Notamacropus eugenii: one gene and its partners. The protein of the gene in region 1 interacts with the protein of each later gene in a biochemical or structural test. Links are inferred from orthologs where the notes say so. Each region holds a gene or a part of one and is shown on either strand. Other genes may lie near its edges.

Region 1 (7,503 bases):
TGATTATTTCCAATTTATCCTGTCTCTAGTTTGTACATCATTATTTACATGTTGTCTCCCATATTAGACTGTAAATTCCTTCAGGGCAGGGACAGTCTTTTGTCTTTTTTTGGATCCCCAGTGGCTTAGCACAATGTCTGGCATGTAGTAGGCACTTAATAAATGCTTATTATTGATTTCCTCTTCATTTGTTGAAAATGATTCTTTTTCCTTTTTAATATCGTCAATTTCACTTTTCCCTCTGTTTCTAAAAGTAAGATCAATGGCTTCTGTATTTATTAGTTTTTTCTCTGAAAAATAGCCCCTGGTTTTATTTATCAATTTTCTGAAGTTTTTATTTTGATTTTATTGATCTCTTCTTTGATTTTCAGAGTTTCTATTTTTTGTGTTCAGTTGGGATTATTATTTTTTTTAATTTGTTGCAGGTTTGTAGCTTTAAAAAATTCCCCTTGCTTTCTTTTTCCTCTTGGCTACTTTCCTCCCTCTGCTTTTAGCTTCCAGCTCCAGTGGCCTTATTTTGAAGGCAGGGTCAGTTGTACTGTCTGCTGTATTTTGTTGTTATGAAGGTTTAAAACACACACACGCGCACACACACACACGCACGCAGAATGAAACAGCCTTTCAAAATGACATAATTTCCAGAGGAAGTTGAAATGGCGTTCTCATTAAATCTGGTCCCATCAGCCCATCTAAGCCCAGCAGGCTTTGTTTTGGAACTAGTTTGTTAACACCAGGAAGCCTGCCTGTGGTTCTGGCTGGAGTCAGGGCCCTCTCTTCTGGGAGCTGCTCTTTACACTGAGGTATCTGTTAGGGTCTCTCCATCTGGTTGCCCCTGCCCAGATTACTCAGTAGTGGGTTAATTAATAACTAGGCAATGGTTTTCCTATTTCAGGGGAGGAAGCATTGACCCTGAAAGTATACTGTAGGTCCATGGTCAAGTTGTGTTCTGTGCTTTGTATGAATATCAGAGCTGGAGGGGGGGTGGTGGCGGGGGGGGGGGGGGGGGGGGGCGGGGATCTTAAAAGAGAGAACAGGAATAGTTACAACAGGAAGAACTTTAGACTAGCACAGAGCTGGTACGATCTTAGAACACCAAATGTCAGAACTAGGAGAGACCTTGACTACTGAAGATACATATGGGGAGAAAGAAGAGGTGTGCTGGTAAATGCTTAACTCAGTTCTCTGATGGGGGAGCAGGAGGATATACTCAGGACATCCTTAAAACTTTAATTTGCATTATTAAAATTTTCTTCATCACTTTCTTAAAGGTAGACAATCAATAGAGTCAAGTCCTGGTAACCTTTCTCTAGAGGTAACTAGATGGTTGGTAGATAAAGAGTCAGGAAGATCTGACTTCAAATTTGACCTCACTTGCTGTGTGATTGTCTGTAAGTCACTTACCAGAGACTGTAAGTGAAGGTAAGGGTTATTACTATGATTGTTTTTAGAAGCAATTGGTGTTAAGTGACTTGCCCAGGGTCTGAGGCTGGATTCGAACTCAGGTCTTTCTGACTCCAGAATCCTGAATCTATCCACTGGACCACCCAGATGCCCTCCCCTCCCCCAAATTCACAACAAAAAGATGAAATAGATGAATAGATTTATTAAGTGCCTACTATGTGCCTGGGCTGTACTAAGATAATGTAGCACAATGGAAAGATCACAGGAATAGAAGTTGTGAAAGATTACAGCCCTATTATTAATATAAACAGCTGACATATGTTCTCTCATCTGAGCCTCATTACAACCCTGGGCAGTAGGCGCCATCACCATAACCTGCATTTTATAGATGGGGAAAGAGAAATTAAGAAAATTTGAACTCAGACATGTTAGGATCTTAAGTCCAGCATGCTACCTACCCAGCAGCCTTCAGAGCTGTACACTTCTTGAGGAGGGATTGTCTTTTGCTTCTTTTTGTAGGAGCAGGATACAAAATGTTCTGTTTAGCATTCAAAGTCCTTTGTTACCTAGCCCTCTCCTACCTTTCCAGTCTTCTCACCCCTTATTCCCCACCATGGACTCTTCAGTCCAATGACACTGGCTTCCTGGCTGTTTTTTGAACAAGACCCTTCACCTCTGGGCTTATGGCATTTTCTCTGGCTCTCTCCCAGGCCTGCAACACTCACTGTCTTTCTTCTGCTTCCTCTAAGTCCCAGCTAAAATCTCACCTCCTACAGGATACTTTCCCCAACCTCTCTTAAGTCTCGTGCTTTCCTGCTGTTAATTATTTCCTATTTATCCTGTATATAAGTTGCTTTGAATAAACAGTATTTGTATACTGTATGGGATACTGTATGTATGTATAATGCATGGTGTCTCCTTCATTACATTGGATGCTCCATGAGGGCAAGGACTGCCTTGTTTGGCTCTTTTTGTATTCTACCACTTAGCATACTAGATGCTTAACAAATATTTAATGAATTGAATCCCCAGAGCTTAGCACAGTGCCTAGCACATAGTAGGTGTTTAATAAATGTTTATTGATTGAAGGATTCTTAGGTTACCTAGCCAAAGTGACTTGCTCAAGGTCAGCAGCAGAGTTGGTATTTGATCTCAGGTTCTCAATCTCCAGAGCTCACATTCTTTAGAGATTCCCTGATATGACTCAGAACCCTTCATGGGAGCAGAGACATTCCAAGCTGGAAGGGTCCTTCAGCATCAAGACGAACTCTCATTTTACAGATGAGGAGACTGAGACCCAGAAAATCAAAATGCCACCCCTCCCCCCAATCAGGCAGTGGCAGAGCTGGGATTTGAACCCAGCCCATCTTCCAGGTAGGGGAGTCTAAAATGGTATGGATTGCCCAACATTGTACATCCTGGGGAGAATTCAGGACCCTCCACGGCCGACTCTGGTCCTTCCTGTCCCTCCCACCCCCCACCCCAGCCGACTCTCCTCTGGCGCCCCTTCCACCTTTAGGTTGCTAGGTAGATTCCAGCCATCTGAGTTCCCGCTGCCCCATTGGTTGCAGGTGTTCAACTTTTGCGTTGGGAGGAGGCAGGGGACTAGCCGAACGCAGGTAGCCCGTCCGACTCTCCGATTGGCTCTGAGCCTGCGGCATCCCCTTGAGGATTGGCTCCAGGTGGCCATCCGGATGGGCTTCCTTATTGGTCACCAGGTACTTTGCTCCCTCTCTCCTCCTACCGCTCATGCCCGCGCGCCTATTGGCCGATCGTTCGGAACTCGGCCAATCCGCCACGTTCGGACCGTTCTAGACGGGGTGGGGTTCAAGCCCTTCTGAGCGAACTTCAGTCCCCCCTGCTTCGGCCCCTCCTTCTTAGCGTGGGCCGAGCGCGCGCGCCCCCTACTCCCCCAGGGTTGTGGTCGCGCGCTCGGACCAGCCACAGGCCAAGTTCTTCCCGGCTGGACTATCTTCCGGGGAGTAAAGTTGGGGCTAGGGGAGCAGAGTTGTCGGGCAGGGCCGGGGGTGATGCCTGGGTTCTCTCCTCTGCGGCGCCCTCAGTGGGTGAGAGGGGTCAGGGAGAAGGGGCTACAGCCTCAGTAAATGTGTGTCCTCCACTCCCCGCTAAGCTACCCCCCAGGATCTCTTCGAAGCCCCTCTCGAGGCTTCCTCCCCCTAATCCCGTACTCAGGCCGGATGTCCCCACCCCATGCCCAGCCCCCTAACTTCATCCTCCCTGAAGGTTTCCCATTTACCTAATGGACTGCAAATCCCCTTCCCACCTCGTCGTCTCCCACAAGCTTGCCCCCTTCCCCAGAACATCGCTTACCCCAGGGTCTTCCAAACACCTCCCCCGATTCGTCTTTCTCCACATGCCTGCCCCTTCCTCTTGGTTTCTTTGGACTTTCCCCACCCCAGGGTTCTATCCCTGGGCCTCAGTTTCCTCATTCGTAAAATGATAGGATAGTACTGGATGGCTTTTGAGGACCTTTAGCTTCATACCCAAATCCGTGACCCATACCAGCAGGCAAATTCCCCTTTGTGACTCAAGGATTCCAACTCCACCCCCACCCCCTCCATTTCCAGTCCTTCTAAAACATCCCCTATCTGCACCCCAGCTTTGACCCACACGGATTCCGGACCTTTAATCCGCTCTTCTCCCAATTTCCTTTTATTCTGGAGGTCACCCCCTAGTTCCCCGGCTCCTTTTACCACTGGAACTCCCCACTCCACATCCCTGTCTCTTTCAGGAATCCCTCGGTCCCATTTTCCCTTTCTTGCACTTCCCCTGCGACCCATCTGTCCCCAGCTCAGGTCGTTAGTGCAGCTTTCCAGTGAGAACTTCGGAGAGCAGAGTCCTTCCTCTTTGGGTCATCATCATGTGTTTGTCCAGTCCCCCCCATCCCCCCTCGGCTGGGTGTCTAATCCCTGCCCAGCCCCCTACTTCCCCACTTCTGGTGGCGGGGAGAGGGTGGGGGCCTCCGCCAAAGGAAGCCAGTAGGTTCAGCCCCCAACCTGCCCCTCCCTCCTCCTGCTCCGGCCCCTCCCGCTCCTGCTCCTCCTCTTGTTCCTGCCCCTCCTCCTCCGGGAGTCCAGCCTGCAGGTAGGATTCTGCTTCCTTCTTAGCTCCTGGGTTAGAAATGTGACCTGGGGGAGACTCACTCCCTGGAGACCCTGGACGTCCTAGCCTCGCTGTGGCCCTGTCCCAGAGGCAGACGTTTCCTGGCTTGGATATTTGGGAAGGGAGTCGGGAAAACTTCCCGGGGGGGGCTCTTCCCCGCCCTCCTTCCCCTCCCCCCTTCTTCCAGGTAGCTCCGGGCACAGACAGCGCCCGCTCCCGGGGGTTGCCCTCTCGGGGCGCTGCGTCGGCCCTGGTGTTTCTGTTTCGTCGAGTGGGCCAGGCGGTGAAATGGAGAGCGTGCCGTGGCCACCGAGCCGGGTTCCGAGCCCCGATCCGAAGCCCTGAGCCCTGAAGCCCCTGCCGGCCACCGCTCTCCGCGCGCACTCCGGACGCAGACTCCGCTGGTTGGGATTACTGCCATGCCGAGCAGGATGGGGTCCAAGACGAACGTGGGCCGGGAGATCATTCGCATTAAGGCACACTACAACGGGTGAGCCAGCGGCGCCCACTGCCCCGCACTCCCTCCCCAGAGCCCTCCCCTGCAAGCCTCGCCAAGTTGGCGTCTGTTTGCTGGGCAGCCGTGGAAAGTTTGTCCCTTCTCCCGGGTCGGTGCTTTGGCAACAAACGGGGGGAGGGAAGTGGGGGGGGCGGAGAAGGAGGAGGTGTAACAGTCCCTGCTGGGGGGGGGGGGGCTGTCTTTTCAAAGTCTCCCCTTTGCGACTTAATGAGCAGTAAACTGTAGCGATTACTGGAGCTAAACTTTTTCTTCTGAGTCTTAGTTACAAAATGTAACAGTGACTCATGAACAAAGCATTCCGGGGCCGGGGCTCGGTGAAAGGAGCCGTAGCAGGCTAGGCGGAGCCGAGTGTCCGGGTTTACCTGTGAAATGGGCCGATGATTTGTAAGCTGGTCGTTGTAGACCTGTTTCTGCCCCTACAAAGACCGAGTAAGGAGCTTTGCAAAACTTAAAGTTTGAACGAGGTGAGCGATTAATCCGTGAGAAGCCCCCGAGTGGTGTGTGTAGTCGGTTGGAGCCCTGACGACTTGAGTTCAAATCCCGCCTTAGGTACTTCCTGACTTTGGCATCCTGAGCCCAAGCAACTTGACCTCCCGAGGCTCCAGGTACCTGTTGAATTGCCAAGAAGGGGCGATCCGGCACTGGTGACTCGGGAGGTTTCCTCACCTCGTACTGGTGAAGACACAGGTGCATCCTTATGCCTTATTTAATACAGTGTGCGCCACTGAGGGCAGGGTAAGAAGGAGCCGTATTCTCCAGCTGGATTTTGTAATTGTTTTCATTTTTCATTTGTCTAGACCTATAGCGTTCTCTGTCTCTGTCCCTCCCTCTCACCTCATCTACAGCTCAGATCTCTTCTGGGGGCACCGAGACATTCCTAGACTTGCCCAGAATCACACCACCAGTATGTATCCGAGGCTGAACTTGAACCCAGGTCTGCCCGACTCTAAGGCTGGGTCTCCATACCCTCCATCAGAGCTGGCTTTTGGCAGTTAGCCTAGCATACAGCGTTTTTGTATCTTTGCCTAGCCTCTACTCTAGTAGAGTGATATATTCGTAGCGCATTTAGGTCACTGAAGTTCTCAGGAGTCAGAGGACTTGGGTTCGAATACTATGCTTCATTACTTGTACGATCTGGGGCAAATCGTTTCCTTGGGCCTTATTTCAGTTCCTTATTTTGTAAAATGATGAAGCTACATCAGATGACCCCAAGAGTCTCTTCAGTTCCAAGTTCATAATCTATGATCCTATATAAGTTCCTTCCAGTCTGGGACTGTCACATATGTTCTGTACATGACCTGGGACGCTGGGTATTAAGATATTCCTTTTTCCTCAATCTTTTCTGTGTCCTGGACCTCTTGGGCCAGCCTATGGTCCCCTCTTCAGAGCCATCTTTTTTAAATGCATAAAATAAAATTCAGAGGATTCCAAAGGAAACCAATTCTATTGAAATAGTTATCAAAATAAACACCACCAAAATTCATTGCCCCCACATTGAAAGCACCTGCTTTGTTTCTCCTCACCTGCATCTCTAGGCCTTTGATTCAGTCCCCAGAGTTGTGCCATGGGCTAGTTGGTACTTTAGCAGAGTAGGTTTATAGGAGATGGTTTTCTCTCTCTTTTTTCCCTTTCTTTCTTTTTTTTATTTTTTTTTTTTACCACTTTAATCTGGGAAGGGGAGAAAAATAAGTAGTCTAGTCCTTTCACTGTAAGGAAATTGTATGCAGCCAGTAGCCTTCCACTGGTTTAGATTTCTTCCTTGAGTCTGACCCTGGATTCCTTGGCGTATTGTAGCTAGTGAGCTTAACCCATGAATTGAATCCACTCTCCTGAAGCTGGACCCTTGGCTCAGTAAAAGGGAGAGGTTTGTTTGTTTTTTTTTTAAGCCTTTCATTCTCAGTCACTTTCTCATTTTTGAAGTTAAGAGCTCTCAATTCCTCCCCCAAGTCCAAAAACCAGCCAGATACAAGTAGCAATCTTTTGGAGAGAACACCTCTCATCTGAGGAGGTTAAGAGACTGAAAATAGTATTCATATTTTTTTTGTTTGTGAAAATCTCAGCTTGGTATTTGGCTTGGAAAACGACAGAAGAAAGCTTATTATCCTCTTAGGAAAGGGGCACACACAGGTCATCGTGAAGGGCTCACATTTTGGTCATTCATTTCATTTCTTTAAGGAATACACTGGTGACCTTTCTAAAATTAGACTTTGCTAAAACTTCAAAAAAAGTTTTTAGAATCAGAAAATGTTTTTTGGAAATGCAAAATTATTCCCTATTCTTAAAAACAAATCCTTTTTATTGGAAATTAATTCTTGTTACAATCCGAAAGAGAAAGCCTTCCGGATGAATTCCATTGTTAGTATTATATTATATAAAATGTTATCTCATAACATCCCATATCCCTCTTAGCATCCCTAGCTTCCTTCAAGGCTTACTCCCTCTTGAAATTAACTGGTCTTTAT
Region 2 (7,971 bases), on another chromosome or scaffold:
CTTTAAAAAGAGAATGTTATGATTTCATAAGTGTCAGGAGGAAATGACTATAAGCTGGCAGGCGAGGCACATGCAAAGATGACTACTGGCACATGTGATTTCTATTTACAGTCACTGGCAAATTAGCAGAAGCAGTGTGGAGAAGGACAATGCATTGCATTCATTGTCCCCTGCCCAGTGTCAACTGCCAAGTGTAGGATGGTAATGTTGCCAACCCTCTTTCCTCACTGGCCTGAGTCACTCATATAGATGTCATTTGGACAGCTCCAGAGTGAGTGGATAGCAACATAAATAGAGAAAAGTTGGAGAAGGAGAAATATAAGGGAAAGCCAAAGGATCAAATTTTTGGAGAAGGAGCCCAGACTAGGGAAGCTATCATAGAGAAATCCACTTCAGTTTTCTCTAGATCCTTGATGGTATTTACTAGTAGTTAGGGGCTACTAGGTGACTCAGTGAATAAAGTCTCAGGCCTGGAGTCAGAAAGATGAGTCTTCCTGAATTCAAATCCAGCCTCAGACACTTAGTAGCTGAATGACTTTGGGCAAGTCACTTAATCTAATTTGTCACCATTTCTTTATTAGTAAAACGAGCTAGAGAAGGAAATAGCAAACCACTCCACTATCTTTGTCAAGAAAATCCCAATAGGGATCTGGAAGAGTTGGATCTGAAACTGAAACTAGTAGTTCAAGGGTCACTTAGATTAGGGATCATAGAAGTGTGTAGACTCTGTTTTCTGGTCTACTTGACTCCCTTATATTTGTCAGTCCCTTTCAGACCTTCCTAACACTGACTTGAACTGAATTCATAAAGTTAATATGAAGCCAAATAAGTAGAGGTGAACCTATTGAACAAAACTGTAAATTTGGTCTTTGGTATTTCCATCATCTCTTTTTTCTAGCGTTCTTGCTTCCTTATATGATGACTCCCACCACTAGCTCAGATATCAAATAGCCTAATGCTTTCTTACCCTTATCAAAACTTCTTCAAAGGAAAGAAGGCAACATTATGCAGTGGAAAACACTGGAAGTCCTGCATTCTAGTCCTGGCTTTGTCACTAAGGAGATTTTGACCATGGGCATATAATAATGTAATTTATCTGTGTCTCAGTTTCCACAACTGTAAATTGAGGCAGTTGAACTATGTAAGTTTTAAGGTCTCTTCTAACTCTAATAGTCTATGGTCAGATAAATTATTCATACTAAAATGTAAATAGCTGCTAAAACTCCAAGCATTGTGGAAAGCATGTCTGATTTGAAGTCAGAAAACCTGGGGTTGTATCCCAGCTCTGGCTTACTACCTTTTACCCTGGGCAAATCAATCACTATCGCTAGAACTCAGTTTCCTCATCTGTAAAAGGAGGGAGAAGGTTGCTCTAGATGGCCTCTAAGGTCCCTTCTAGCTTCTAATCACTAATCATATGATTTTATGTTCAAAATATTCCCCTTAGGAGTATTTTTCATTTTAAAAGTCATCATCAGGGACAGCTATCTAGACCAGGTAGCAGGAGAGGGTTCCTGGGGACTTAGGACATAGAAAACTTTTGGCAAGTTTCTTGAATTCCTATAAAGCTCCTACCAGTGTAGTGCCTTCTAGAATCCTGCCCCTGACTCTAATGGTGTGACCATGAGCAAGTCCCTTGAACCTGTTTCTTCACCTGTAAATGGAGAGCATACTTGAAGTACTTGTCTCACAGGGTAATTGTGAAGATAAATGAGATGGTACATACAAACCACCGCAAACTTTAAAGCGTTAGATAAATGTCAGTTATTGGAAGAAGAAAAAGAAGAGTCATTTCTGACTAGGAAGACTTCATGGAGGAAGTGGCGTTTAAGCTGGCCCTTAGAGGAAGTTTGGGATTCTAACTAGGTGAAAACAAAAAAAGGAGGGCTTTCCAGGCACAGTGACAAACTGGACTAAAACTTTGAATGAATGGAAGGAAATCTCCAGGCTAGGGATCAAAGGAAAATCAGATGAGAGTGGAATCTGGACCTCTCCATGTTAGGAAGCTCCTTTCTTGGTCAATAGTTTCTCTTTATAACCTACCTACCTACCTACCTATCTATCTATCTATCTATCTATCTATCTATCTATCTATCTATCTATGCATATATATATATATATATATATATGTATACATATATATATATATATATATTCTGAGTCTATAAGTAGCTGAGGACCGAGAAATCTCCTCACAAACTCTCTATTTTGCCTGTCCTTTGACCTCCAGTTCTCAACACTTTGGAGTCTTAATGCTACCTTTTCTGCTTATCTTTAATATAATGGAATTGTTAATCCTTTTTTCCCCAACATTCCTTTCTAGTACACTAATAATATTGAGTGTGCTTTTTAAAAACAAATATTCCTAAAGAAAAAAATGAAACAAAATAGTATGCAATAGTCATTACAAAGGCAGTGGTAATCAGAAGTGTTTATTTATATTCACACATACACATACATATATATGTATACACACATATATACATATGTACGTATGTGTGTGTGTATGTGTGTATATGAAGCTAGCCTGCATGGCTGGAATGTCTTCCAAAGTTTACTTTATCCTATCTAACTCAAGTCTCATGGCTGTCATTATTCTCCAGTTCTCAGAAAACAATTCCTGCCCTCAGGACTCTGTCAGTCTGGTGTCACTTTGGCTGACTGGAAATTGGCACTTTAACTACAGAACATGTTCCCCTCTAGGTTCAACAAATTTAATAAATTTTAAATGGTTTATGCCACTACACCCTCAGAATACAAAGATGAAAAGTGAGGCAGTTCCTAATGGAGGCATAGACCCTTACATAATTAGGCGATAAAAATACTGGATTGACTCAGAACAGCATTCATTTTATTTTACAACCTAAATCTGAATCTAATCCAATTCGAAAGCCAAGATCATTGGTCAATACAATTTATACATTCCTATCAATAGCTAAGTAACCTTTATCCTTACTCATCTGGAATATATGGGGGTAGGGAGGACTGAGGGGAGGGAAAGGGTAGGAACACTTGGATCATCAAATCAAAAATATTATAGTCACTTTGAAACCCGAATTGATAAAATAACCCTTTCCTTTCATGATGGATGGTGAGTAGTGCAGTTTGAAGAATGGTGCACAGGGCCAGGAGCAGAATTAGAGGATGCTGGAAGGGTGGCATGCAGGTTGTGGAGATCCTCACTACCTGAATAAAGAGTTTATCCTAAGATATCCAGGTGGAGATTTTCATGAGGCAATTGGAAATGCCAGTTTGAAGTTCAGGAAAGAATTTCAGGGCTGTAAATGTGGAGGGTAATATGGGGTGGGGGTGGGGAATGGGAACTGATAAGACTGGTAAAAGAAAATGTAGAGAATTAAGAAGAAAGGACAGAACTTAAACTATCAGGAAATAGAGAAGCCACTAAAGGAGAGCTAGAAGATACAGTAAGAAGAAGCAATAAGAAATGTAGAATGAGGAAATGTATGTTGTTCTATGAAGAAGGCAAGATGGGAAAGAATATTGAGGATCAAGGAATGGTCAGTGATGTTAGATGGTACAGAAAGGTCAAAAAGTGATAACTCCTGAGAAAAATTATTTGGATTAGACAACAAAGTGATCTTTCAGAGGGCAGTTAGCAAAACATAGTGGGGATAAATACCAGTCTTTAAGGAGCTGAGGAGTGGTGGGAGGGCAAATGGAATAGACTACTGTTTGAAAAAGTTTGGTAAGAAGAAGAGAAATTGGAAGAGTCCATGAAAGCTTTTTTGTTTTGGAGAGGTCTGGCCACGTCGAGAAAACTTGGGGCGGAAGGGGAGGAAAGGCGGAGAAGTAGCCTGTGGCAAGGAGAAAGTTTAAAGATGAAGATCAAAGAGGCGTTGAACACTTGCCTTGGCCTCTCAAAAAGGAGCTGACACTTTCTTCCCTTTTAAAATTCAAGTGCTTCCTACACAAACTATACCTGGTAACTTCTCTCAATATGACAGAGTAGAAAAGGTGAGGTAGAGGGGGTCCTCATGTACGTGCACTGGGTGGATCAGATAGGAGAAGGAAGATGAAAGGGCTTATTTAAGCTGCAAGGAGGGCAGAATTGCCAAAGGGAACTATTTACAAGGTGGGCTATCCCTAAACTGAAGGAGCGGTCCCAGTCCTACAGACTCCTCCATTTCTGGGACCCAGGATTGGGTAAAGGAACGTGCTAAATCCCCCTTATTTACACAAGGTAACTGCACCTAGTAGCTCTGCTCAGAGCTGGAGGGAATAGCAGCCGGAGACGCAGACTTCATGGGGGGAGAGGGGGACTGCTGGAGGAGTCTCAAGAGGAAGGAGGCATTCTGGGTCGGAGAGGCAGAGCACAGTGTGTCTAGGTGGGGCTGTCTCGGGAGGGGAGTCAGCTACGAGTCAGCCCATGTGTTTACCTTGTTCACAGGAAGCCGTAGGGTAAAGAGGAGGGGAAGAAGAGTGAGTGAGTGTCCCTGCTAGAGCTGCCTGTCAGTCACCAGCTGTTCAGCTCTAGAGAGCAGACCTAGTCTTTGAGTCTCCCCTCCAGGGCCAGAGCGCTAGACTGGGGCTGACACTGCGGAAGGTAGCTGGGCATCCAGGAAAGCAGGGTGGCTAGTCCCCCAAAGCCTACACCTTCCGTCTACACTTTCCCCCTTCCTGGACCTAAACGCCAGGGAATAGCACCCACACACAGAGATACACACACACACACACACACACACACACACACACACACACACACACAGATATACACACGCGCGCGCGCGCGCGCGCACACACACACACACACACACACACACACACACACACACACACACACACACACACACACACACACACACACACACACTCCCCACTCTCCCCAAGCTTTTCCTGGCCCCTCCTCCTCCTGTCTCTGCTGGTGCACTGCCTTCGCCTCCTCTCCTCTCCTCTTCACCCCACCTGGGGGCGGCTCTGCTCCAGGGGGAGAGGTCAGCGTGCCTCTCCCCCCCCGCCCCCCCGCCACCCCCTCGCCTGTGGATGCGGTAGCCCCTGGAAGCAGCCGGAGGGAGCGAGGCGAGCTGAAGACCCGGTGCGTGAACAACAGGGGTAGTAGGGGCTAGGGGACCTCCAGGGCCCTTTGTCTCCTAGCTCATCTTTCCCTGGCCCTAGGCGGGGAGAGGGGGCGGGAAACTGGCCAGTGGGGCGAAATAGTGAGAAAGCTCTCTTCGACCTCCCTCGTTTTCTCTTTCAAAGGGATGGGGGCAGAGGGAGGAAGCGATATAACTCTGTCGATCTTCCGAGCGCGGATTTCCAGTGGGGAGGGGGGCGTCAGAGAAGGACCATTTGCCCAAGCCGGGGGGGAGGTGAAATTGTCCCAGCGGTGTGAGAGCGGAGGCCGATACCTGAGCAGCAGCAGCGCAGGTGGCCGGGTTGGAACGGGCACCACCACCACCTCCTTTTCCCGGGGCTGCAGGGTCCGGGCAGGTGCCGGCCCAGCTCCGAGACGTTTCCTGCGTGGTCTCTGCCCCTGACCACACCGAGAGTCCTTTTTCTGGATAAAAGGTGTTTTGTAGGAGGCAGGCCGACTTTTCTTCACGTAGGTGCGGCGGCAGCTGCTCCAGCTGGAGGAAGGGTCTCCTGTCGTCCGACCCAGCTGGGACGTCGGGCGGGAGGGTGGGTTTGCTTGCCAAAGGGGTGGATTTACCAAGTGTCACTTTGGGGGAGGACCGGTGTCCCCCGGCCTGACCCTGCCTTTGGGAGCTTCTCGCGGGGGAGGGGTTTAGTGGAGTCTGGTGGTTGGCAAATGTTTAAGGGATGTTGCCTTTCACTGCTACAAAAGACATTCCTATCAAGAAACAATGTATCCGAGTGTTTTGTTGGTTTCTGTCTATTTATTTATTTAATTGCAAACCTGTGCTGCGCGTTCCTCCAAGTCCAGAGTTTCAGTTAAGGAGCCGCAGCCTGGGTTTCTTGTGTAGCTTCCGGTTTCAGATTATGGCGTGTTCTCACTGCTCCGCTGATCAGTTACCAAACTTCTCTCTGGCCCAGGAGCTTAGCAACTGGAACTCTGGAGTAAACCCTTTCCTCCCGCTCTCGGCCAGTGCCCCAGCTGCCCTCGCTGGCATCCCCGACCTCTGCTACCTCTGCTGCTTTCCACACCTGCAGTACCGACTCTAGGGGCTACTTTCCCTAGGACTCCTGACAAGGAAACTTTTTCATTCGTGATTCTCCCTCTTCCCCTCTACCCGCCCCCCCCCCCCCGCGCCCCGATTTCTTTTGGTCTTATTCAACCTAGTCCCTGGCATCCATGAGTCAAAAAATAGCTTCCCAAGGGTGTGCCTGTTTTGTTTTTCCGTTCCTGTCTCTGACAGTTCTTGGGTTTCGGTAGATTCCCAAGAAATCCATTTGCTTGTGTTTCAGTCATTCTGCTTTCACAAAGGTGTTGTAAAGATGTTGTGTAGGTGTTGTAAAGACCTGGTGGCAGTACCCTGTCAGGGCCTAGTGTAATCGAGTTTTTTAGAAAGCTTGATGAGAAGGAGGTGGAAATTGAAGTCCTTGGAATTGTTGGAATTCATTATAACGCTGGAAGGACGAATTCTCATTCTTCCTCTGTTTCGCTGTTACATTATGAGAATCAACATGTTCAGTTTTTTCCTTGAATCTGTGTATGTGTGTGTGTGTGTGTGTGTGTGTGTGTGTGTGTGTGTGTGTGTGTGTGTGTAATTTTTTAAAGTTGAAATATGCCCCAGAAGGGCTGTGAACTCCAGGTGATTTTATTGTTGTTGAGTCGTTTCTGAATCTTTATGACCCCGTTTAGGGTTTTCTTGGCAAAGATACTGGAGTGGTTTGCCATTTCCTTCTCATTTTATAGATGAGGAAACTGAGGAAAACAAAGTTTATGTGACTTGCCCAGTCACAACTGCTAGTGTCTGAGACCGCATTTGAACTCACTTCCTGACTCCAGGCCAGGCACTCTCCACTGCGCCACCTAGCTGCAGGGGAAACCGGTGTAATAACGAGATAAGAGGTTTGAGTTGGAAGACCCGAGGCTTATCACCGACACCCCCCAACTTTCCGACCCTCCCCCCGCCTTGTACATACGTTGAACAAGTTTATTCATATTTCTGGACATAGGCTTTCTCTTCAGTAAATAAAGGAGATTCGACTACATGACCTACAACAGACCCATAGATAGAGTGGAAAGAGCTCTAGAGCCCAGGGTTCCGAAGACTGGTTCTACCACGGTGTTGCGAGATTGGAAAAATCACTTTACTTTTCTGGACAGCAGTTCCTTTATCTATAAAATGGGGACATTGGACTAGATCATGTCTTAAGTACCTTCATTTTCTATTGGTTTAAATATTAGGGTTTCTAGATTAAAAATTCTGTGATTTCTATAAATGGCTGTCTCTAACAAAGTGGTATAACCCAGAAAATAGAGGTGCAAAGTTAAAATAAATCATCTTTAAATAAAAGTTTAATTTATCAGAATGCTCAGAAAATGTACTGTTCTCAATTCAACAGTCATTGCAGCATATTTGTAATTTTAACTATTGTTGAAAAAATGTCTGTATTAGTCCACTTTCTTCTTTTAGCAAATAGGGAAACTGAAAATAAGTCTTTCTTTGATGACTTTGATGATAATTTTGAGCACCAGTTATCATTAGACAATTTTGTTGCTTTTGTCAGAAAGAAGACAACTTGACAGCTAACATACTGGGGATTTAAATTTTTAAAAACTTCCCTTGGCATCTTCACTTCCTTTACCTGCTACCTGCTTTTATTTTCCACTGGGATAGGTTAGTTACTTTCACACAGTGGGTGATTAATAGATGTTTGTAGAATTGAGTTGTTATGAATATTAATTTTGGCATATTGTCACATACAGTTTCTTTTCCAGAATGATTAAACTATTAGTCTGATACTATTTTATAGCTTTATTATTCTAAAGGATGCCCCTTTTATCTACCAGAATAGTTAATAAAGAAGAAAAAATATTTCAATTAC
Region 3 (7,820 bases), on another chromosome or scaffold:
TGTGAGTCTGAGTAATCAGTCCACTTAGGTCTCAGCCTCCCCATCTGTAAAACAAAAGATTTTGAGTTCATGAGTCAAAGGTTCCCTTCTAGCTTAACAGGATCCAGAAGATTCCAACTTCCCTCTCTATCTCCTCCCCTTCTCAATTCAATAACAATTTATTAAGTTCCTATAATGCACTAAGCATGGAGAATACAAAACCAAAACCAGGTCCTGCCCCTAAGGAGCTTCTATGGGGGGGAGGGAAGAGACGAATACGGTGCACACAATTAATACAAAGTAATACAACAAAAAATACAAAGTAATAAAGTAATTTTCTGGCATGAGGGAGAGTATTTAAAGAGGATCAGGAAAGGCTTCTTAGAGGGATTGGCATTTGAATTAAGTGTAGAAGGGAGCTAGGGAATCCAAGAGGTAGAGGTAAACAAGGAGAACATTTCAGGTATGGGAGGTTAGTTTGTGCAAATGATTAGTTTTCATGGAGCAGCAAGTGGGCCATTTCAGCTGAAACACGGTGCATGAGAGAGAGCAACGTGAAATCACTGTAGAAATACACATCAGGGCTAGGTATTTAAGGAGTTCAAAAGGCCAGAGAGGTTCACATTTTATCCTAGATACAATAAAGACCTAGTGAATCTTGAGCCCATTGTGAAGGAGAGTGAAAAATGGGAAATGACTCCGTTGTTAATATGAGTAATACGAAGGAAGGTGATGCTTGAAACAGAAATAGGGGTTAGAAGAGTGGGTAAAGATATAGAGTTCTATTTTGGACTTTGTGTTTGAGATGCTTATAGATATGCTCCAGGAAACACCTCTCCTCAGTCACTCCAGGTCCTGCCCTGATCCAGGGGCTTCTAATCATTGGTGAGAGTTTACCGTATCTAGCTTATCCAGATGCACCATCTTAATGGTATCCCGCCCTTTTCCTCCCTCAACATAACCTAGCCCATTTTCCATCTCCATCTCTTGGGACAAAAATCACTCAATTCTACTATTCCAAGTTAGGGTGTATCATTTAATTAACTGATGACCACGCTCATCATCCCTAAGTCCAGGGTGGTGGGTTAGAACCTTGCTTTAGCTTCTTGAGGGCAGGAACTGTTTCGTCTAATTTTTTTAATTGCATATCCAGTGCTTCACACAAGCTAAGTGCTTAATAAATGCTTTTTCACTGATTTATTCTGGCAGCTAGTTGGCTAGGGAAGGGTTTCCCTAGAGAGAAAAGAGGGTTGGATATGCAGATTTGGAAGTCTCTGCGTATAGGTGATAATTGGCCCCACACATGGGGAGCAGGATATGATGAATGATGATCTAGTGAAGGAGACTGAGAGAGAAACTTCAGACAAGCAGGAAAACTAGAAGAGAGTGGAAATCTCTTGCAGACCCAAGGAAGGGAGAATATGCAGGAAGAGAAGGTTAAGTGTTTCAAAAGCTGCAGAAAGACGAGGACTAATACCTTGAGATTTAGCAGATAAAAGACTGGCAGTATGCCTTAAACCGAATAATTTTAGTGGAGCTGAGTGGTATCAGAAATTATATTACATTTACTTATTTGTATAACTGTAATATCTCCTGGTAGAATGTAAATTCCTTAAGGTCAGGGATTATTTTGCATCTTGTCCTTGTGGAGGACCCAGAAATAGGATCCTTAATAAATATTTGTTGAATTGATTTAAAATTCACTAAGGGTAAGTCTCTCTCTGACCTCATTCACTCATTCAGATGAAATGAGTACCTACTATGCAATAGCTGTACTCTAATGAAGAACAGGATATAAGATTTCTACTGTAGAGGTGAATGGGGATTTGGGGGAGGGTTGGATGAAGGTAGATTAGTGTCAGTCTCATAACTTCAAGAGCTTTGAATAGCTTGGGAAAGGCTGAATCACAGGCTGAATCTGTAATAGGAAAAGGACCTGGAAGGGGATGGTCCCTCCTCCCCTTTATCAAATTTAAACTATTTTTTTACACCTCTAATTACACAGTGATGCAAGCCTTTCAGTGAATTCCTCTTTGGAGAACCAGGAAGCATAAGCCTTACCCTTGCATCTAGAAAGGAAAGTCCATGTAAGGGAAACCACACCCTGAGGGGGCATGACAACACCTTCAGGAATGCAATGCCCACACGAGGCTGGCTTATGTACATTCCTGTTAGGAGAACTCTGATAAATCAGTATTGATAACATGAGGTTCTGAAACACAGTTATAAACCACCATCCATACTTTCTGGACAGGCTTTCTCAAAAGACTCTTTCTCCTGGATCTGTTGGCTTAAGGGTATATTTTGAGAGGGAAATAGGTGGGCTTCTACAAAACCAGTATGCATTTCCCAAGTTACCAGGCCAAATGAGTAGTATTTCTAAGAAGCCCAAATGTCTCCATACCCCAGCCCCAAATCAATGAATCAATAAATCAATAAGCTTTTATTATGTCCCTAAATATGCCAGGTAGAGTGCCAGGTACATGAGATAAACATACAAAGAATGAAACAAATCCTATTTATATTTAGGTGAGAAGAGCAGGTCATAAACCAGGGTCTTTAATTACTTATGTGGGCTCCAGCTCACTTCCTCTCCTAAGCTCTGAAGAGCAGTGGTAGGAGACCTCTAGGCAAGCAGAAATGCTGTGGAAGAATTTTCTTAAGAGATCCAAATACTTCCCTCCTCCCTTAGGAATGTAGAGCCCCTCCCAAGAACCTTTTAAGAGTTATCTCAAAAATGATAATAATACTTGTACTTCAGAGATCCAAGGAAAAAAATCCACCTTACAAGGTTAGAACAGATTTAGAACTGGAAGGGAGGACCCTTAAAGATCATCCAGTTCAACCCTCATTTTAAGGCCCTCATTTTAAGGCTAAAGGTACAGAGCAGCTAGGACAGCTGGATGCACAGTAGATACAGCCCACGTCTTGAGTCAGGAAGACATCTTTCTGAGTTCAAATCGAGCCTCAGACACTTACTACCTATGTCACCCTTGTAAATCACTTAACCCCATTTGCCTCACTCCCATAACTTTTGCCAAGAAAACCCCAAATGGGGTCATGAAAAGTTGGACACAACTAAACAACAACACAGAGGTCCCAAGAGCCTAGCTGTAGGAAATATAAAATCAAGTGGTTTTAAATTATGAGTTCTCCTCTAGACCTCTTTAAACTAAGGGAAATCACAAAGCTGTTCGAGCTGTTCTTTTGAAACTTTCTCACTGGTTAGCAGAAAGAGTGAAAAAGGTCAAGGGGCAAATTCCCTTCTTATTCCCCTCCAGGTAAGGTGGAGTCCCTAACCTAGAAGATCTTGCTATCCTGCAGGACCGATGGAATAACTCACCTGAAACTAAGGAAGTACCCAGATAAAGCAATTTATCTTTGTTTTATCCTTTTTTCCAAAACACTTAACTAGGAATATGGTGAATCTCTGCTATACCAGTTTATGGCTTATCCCTCCCACCAAGGTACAAAACCGTAAACACTATTTAGGAAGGACACACTCTTAGCTAAATTTGGTATTTCCTAGTACTGTTCTTTGCACACAGTAATGATAACTAACATTTCTGCAACTTTTTAAGACTTAATGCTTATGCAACATTTTCTCCCATAAGATAGGATTATTCCCATTTTACAGATGAGAAAATTGAGTCTTAAAAATGCAAAGTAACTTGTCCAAGGTCACAGATAGCACATAATTAAAGTTAGAGTATGAACCTAGTTTCCATAATTTCAAGTTTGGCATTCTTTCCACTCCACAGTCATCTTTAATAAACCTCACATGAGAATTTGTTGGTCCAAGTACAAATGACCCTGGGACTTCTTTCTGGAGTTTGGGAACTTGCCCTTTGGGAAACATTTCTAGAAGTCTCCGGTTTTCTCTCCCCTCCAGGATGACAGATAAGGGTTAATTTGTTGGTGAAAAATAGGTTCTATTTCTACCAGGGAAACTTAGAAGATAGCGGACATTTCTGAACCCAAAGAACATGGCCCGGATGGTCCAGTCTAGAAAAGTGCAGGTCGGGGTTGGTGGTCGGAGTGACGAATATCTAAAGGTGCTAAGACAGCATTTTAAAGCACCAGGAAGGGAACTGACTGAGGAGGGACTGGGAGGAAAAACACAGCGTGTTAGCAACGGGGAGCGGCTCAAAATTTAGGCGAAAAGTCTAAACTCAGGTAGCGAGGGTCTTCCAGGCCTGTCAAATACGAAGGCCCTGCGACCAACTGCGCGTGTGCCACCCCAGGAGCAGCCTACCGGCAAGGCGGGCAAAGGCTCATGCCCAGAGGATGAGTTATTTGGCCGCGGTAACCTGTGAACCATTAAATACCAGGGGGCATTCATTTTCAAGTTCCTCCAAAAGGGGAGCGGTCGTCATAAATGACGCCTCCAATTAAACGGGAGGCGGCTGGGGTGTGGAGACTCGACGGCTCGGCCCCAGCGCTCGGGGGCCCAGCTCTCGCCCTGGCCGTCCCGCGGAAGCCGAGGCTCCGGCTCTCTCCATGGGTAACAGGTGACACTTCTACAGCGCTTTCCAAGGCGTTAAGCGCCTCCCTCCACCGCAGGTGCTCACTCGCCCACGTCCCAGAACCCCAGCCCGGAGGAGGCCAGGAGCGCGCCCCCGCAGCCTCGGGGGCGGGGAGGGGGGAGGGGAGAACGGCCCGAGGGCTGGCGCCTCCAGGTGCGCTCTCGCTTCCGGCACAGACCCCCGCCCCTCCCCCGTTCTCCAGCTTCTGCAGCGGAAACTCCAGCGGCCACGCATGCGCTCTACTTCCCTGCTTAACAGCGGTGTAAGGAGGGGTTGGATGGGGAAGGGGTGGAGACCGCCCCCGCTCTTCAGGTGCTCCCCCGGGCGTCTCTAGGCGGGCGCTGGGGTGGGAGGGGCGCGTGACGTTCCCCTTCCCTCTTTTTTCCTTTCCTTCCCTTCCTCTTCATTCCAGTCAACTAGGAGAGCTTCTCGGCTGTGTACCGCGGCTCTGGCCCCTGGGCGGGCGGGAGGAGTCAGTCGTTCGGCTTCTCCTGGGCCTCCGGAGTCGGGGCCGGCAGGTGAGCGCGCGCACCGCAGTCGTGGCGACTCCCCGCCCCCCACACCCGGATAACTGCAGGTGCGTGAGGGGCACGCGCGAGGTCGCGCCCGCTGAGGACGAGGCTGAGCGCTCGCGGCCGCCCCCTCCTCCCGCTCGAATCTCCTGAGCCGCGTCCGCGCCCCCAACCGGGCGGCGCAGGCCGGAGGCGCTCTTTCTCCGTCGCCCCCTCGCCCCGGGAGAGGAGGCCGCCTGGGGCAGACGGCCCGCCCCTCCCCCCCGCGCTCACCATGAACCGGACTCCCCGGCACGGCGCGGGCAGCGGCTGCCTGGGCACCATGGAGGTGAAGAGCAAGGTGGGTGCGGGGCCCCGGGAGTCTGCGGGAGCAAGACTGGGGAGAGGGCGGGGGTGATGGCCCGGCGCCGGGGCTGAGAACTCGGGGAGGAACCTGGAGGGCCCGCCTGCCCCTGCCCTGCCCCGGCAGACTGGCGAGGATCTAGTATTGTTCGCCGGAGCTTGACCAGCATTCCTCCCCTCCGCTCCCCTCCCCCAGCTCGTAACCCGCAGGTGAGAGTAGGAAGGAGGGGATCACGCCCGAGTGAAAGAGGCAGATGGAAGGGGAGAACTTGATTGGGCTTGGGTTCTTGGGCTGAGTCCACCTCGCCGTGCCCCCGCTCACCGGCCGGGGAGTAGGAAATGGACTTCAAATTCGATCTGCTTCCTATCGTAGCAAAATGAGGTCCTGTCTCTTAACTGGTATTGTCATCTGTTTACTCTTTGAGAGTATTAACTCATCACAACAGAATTTTAAAATTTCACTAATGCTTCACAGCAGAACTTTGGTCTGTTGAGAACACCCAAGAAACAAAACCCAAACACTTAAAACGTGAAATTATTTAACTATTTACAAGCCAGCGTATGAGCCATGAAACTAGTTAATTAAGATGTCGACTGAACCTGAGTAGTGGGTTTATCACTGATGTCACTGAAAACCATCTATTAAAAGTGTGATCAGAGGTTTGGTGGGAAAGGCTTTCTTAAATGAGATTGATTTTTAACTGTGAATTTGGAGGAGGAGACATGCATAAGAGACAGTTCAATCCCAATAAACCTTTCCTTGAATTCAGCTAATATTAACTGGATGGAACCATGTAGACCTTGTTCAACCTCTTCTCTCCCACCCCACCTACACTCTGGAGTCTGAAGCTCAGAGACCTGCAGAAGATCACATAGTTTGTGAGAAAACTACCGTATTCCGCTTTAGGCTTTGGGAGATGTAATGCCTATCAGAAGTTTGCTGTAGGGGAATCCAAAGCATGGAAAGCGCCGTGAAAATAGCTACAAAGTAGATACAAAGTAATGTATCAAATGCAACATAATATTGCATAATTGAATTCCTGAGTATCGACGGTTTGCCGAGTGAGAGTAGTGATCCGTGGAATGAAGGTACTGGGGAGAAGTTTCTTAAAGGATACATAGAAGAAGAAATGCAGTCTTCTTCAGGGGATGATGACCGTGTATTTACAAGTTTTTGATCTTTAAAATGAGATCGAGGATATCCACATTTGCCTTGTTTTTAAAAGTTAACATTTGAAACTCCATTCCGTGTGTGTGTGTGTTGTAGAGTTTGGTTTGAAACTGTATGCACTATTTAATCAGCATAAATGTAGTCATCAAATCAAACTTTAGACTTGGATTTTAAAGAACATACTCTCTCTTCATCCTTCATGGAATTCTCATTGCAAATTGAATTTGTTGGCATGACAGTAATATGATTAAAAATAAATTTGGATAATGCTATAACAGTAACGAGTCCATACAAAGATGATTGAGATGCCTTTCTGCAGTTCTATCACCAGATTTGGTTTTGTGGGAGCTTAGGTTGACAAATTCTCAGGTATGGTCCGGTCTCAGAAATAGGCATTAACTTCTACTTAGCCAGTTGGTTTTAACTTTTTAAAAATGAATTAATACTCAATCTAAATATTCTCTCTTTAATATTGGAAAATTTTAAATTGTTTTAGACCCCACAATTATGAGCATTTGTTATGGTGCCTTGCATAGGGGTCCTAAAATGCATGTTGAAATAATGTATCTCATAGGATTGTACTTTAAGAGATTTTCTGTTTTTCTACCAGTTGATTTAAAATTCTCACACGTTTGTAGTTGCAGTTAAACCGTTTAAATGGCATATTTGAAATGTTAAAGTTTTTATAAACATTTCCTTTTTATACAGCCATTGGAAAAGCTCAATTTGAGATACATATTCTTAGGAAAGTTTTTTAAGCTGTAAAGAGCTATATGTATATAGAGCCTGCTGTTATTCTCTTAGCTTATGGTAAGTAGATAGGCAAAGCATCAATACAATTTCTGTGTTCATATTAAGTTTTAAGTAAATTTTTGTCAGTAAAATTGTTTTGAATGGTGAAACTGAATTGTTTCTAAGGTATTTTCTGGAACTTGGACAGATTTACTTTTAAAATGATAAAAATGGTAGCCATGCCTTTTTTTTTTCTATTTTCATATAAATATATTAAATTTTAAACAACTGTTCTCTGTCGTGTTTTACTATACAGGTTTTGTCTAATGGCATTGAATTTTAATGTACCATGGCCATAATCATGATAAAAGTTGATTTCGTAGGAATCAATATTATTACTTGGCTCAGAATGACCCTTAAAATGTAGGGGAGAAGATATCTATTTCTTCCCATTAAGCAAGGGTATTCTTTGAAGTTGAAATGTATTTTTTTTTTCTGTAGCAGATTTACTTAATTATCTCTTGAAGTGAGAGATTTCACAGCCAGTTATCACTATGG

The links.
Region 2: of the proteins of PRKCZ (region 1) and MBP, one has a biochemical effect on the other in vitro, tested with the Homo sapiens proteins (2 studies listed by BioGRID). The link is inferred for Notamacropus eugenii from reciprocal best matches to the Homo sapiens genes PRKCZ and MBP.
Region 3: the proteins of PRKCZ (region 1) and PARD6B form a complex in vitro, tested with the Homo sapiens proteins (2 studies listed by BioGRID). The link is inferred for Notamacropus eugenii from reciprocal best matches to the Homo sapiens genes PRKCZ and PARD6B.

Annotation. Positions count from the first base shown.
Region 1 is NC_092876.1:36,088,432-36,095,934, forward strand, and holds the start of PRKCZ (protein kinase C zeta type), read left to right. Parts: upstream 1-4,478; 5' UTR 4,479-4,943; coding exon 4,944-5,014; intron 5,015-7,503. UniProt on the Homo sapiens protein: Calcium- and diacylglycerol-independent serine/threonine-protein kinase that functions in phosphatidylinositol 3-kinase (PI3K) pathway and mitogen-activated protein (MAP) kinase cascade, and is involved in NF-kappa-B activation, mitogenic signaling, cell proliferation, cell polarity, inflammatory response and maintenance of long-term potentiation (LTP).
Region 2 is NC_092875.1:205,449,787-205,457,757, forward strand, and holds the start of MBP (myelin basic protein), read left to right. Parts: upstream 1-4,884; 5' UTR 4,885-5,053; intron 5,054-7,971. UniProt on the Homo sapiens protein: The classic group of MBP isoforms (isoform 4-isoform 14) are with PLP the most abundant protein components of the myelin membrane in the CNS. They have a role in both its formation and stabilization.
Region 3 is NC_092872.1:516,100,971-516,108,790, reverse strand, and holds the start of PARD6B (partitioning defective 6 homolog beta), read left to right. Parts: upstream 1-4,733; 5' UTR 4,734-5,291; coding exon 5,292-5,357; intron 5,358-7,820. UniProt on the Homo sapiens protein: Adapter protein involved in asymmetrical cell division and cell polarization processes. Probably involved in formation of epithelial tight junctions.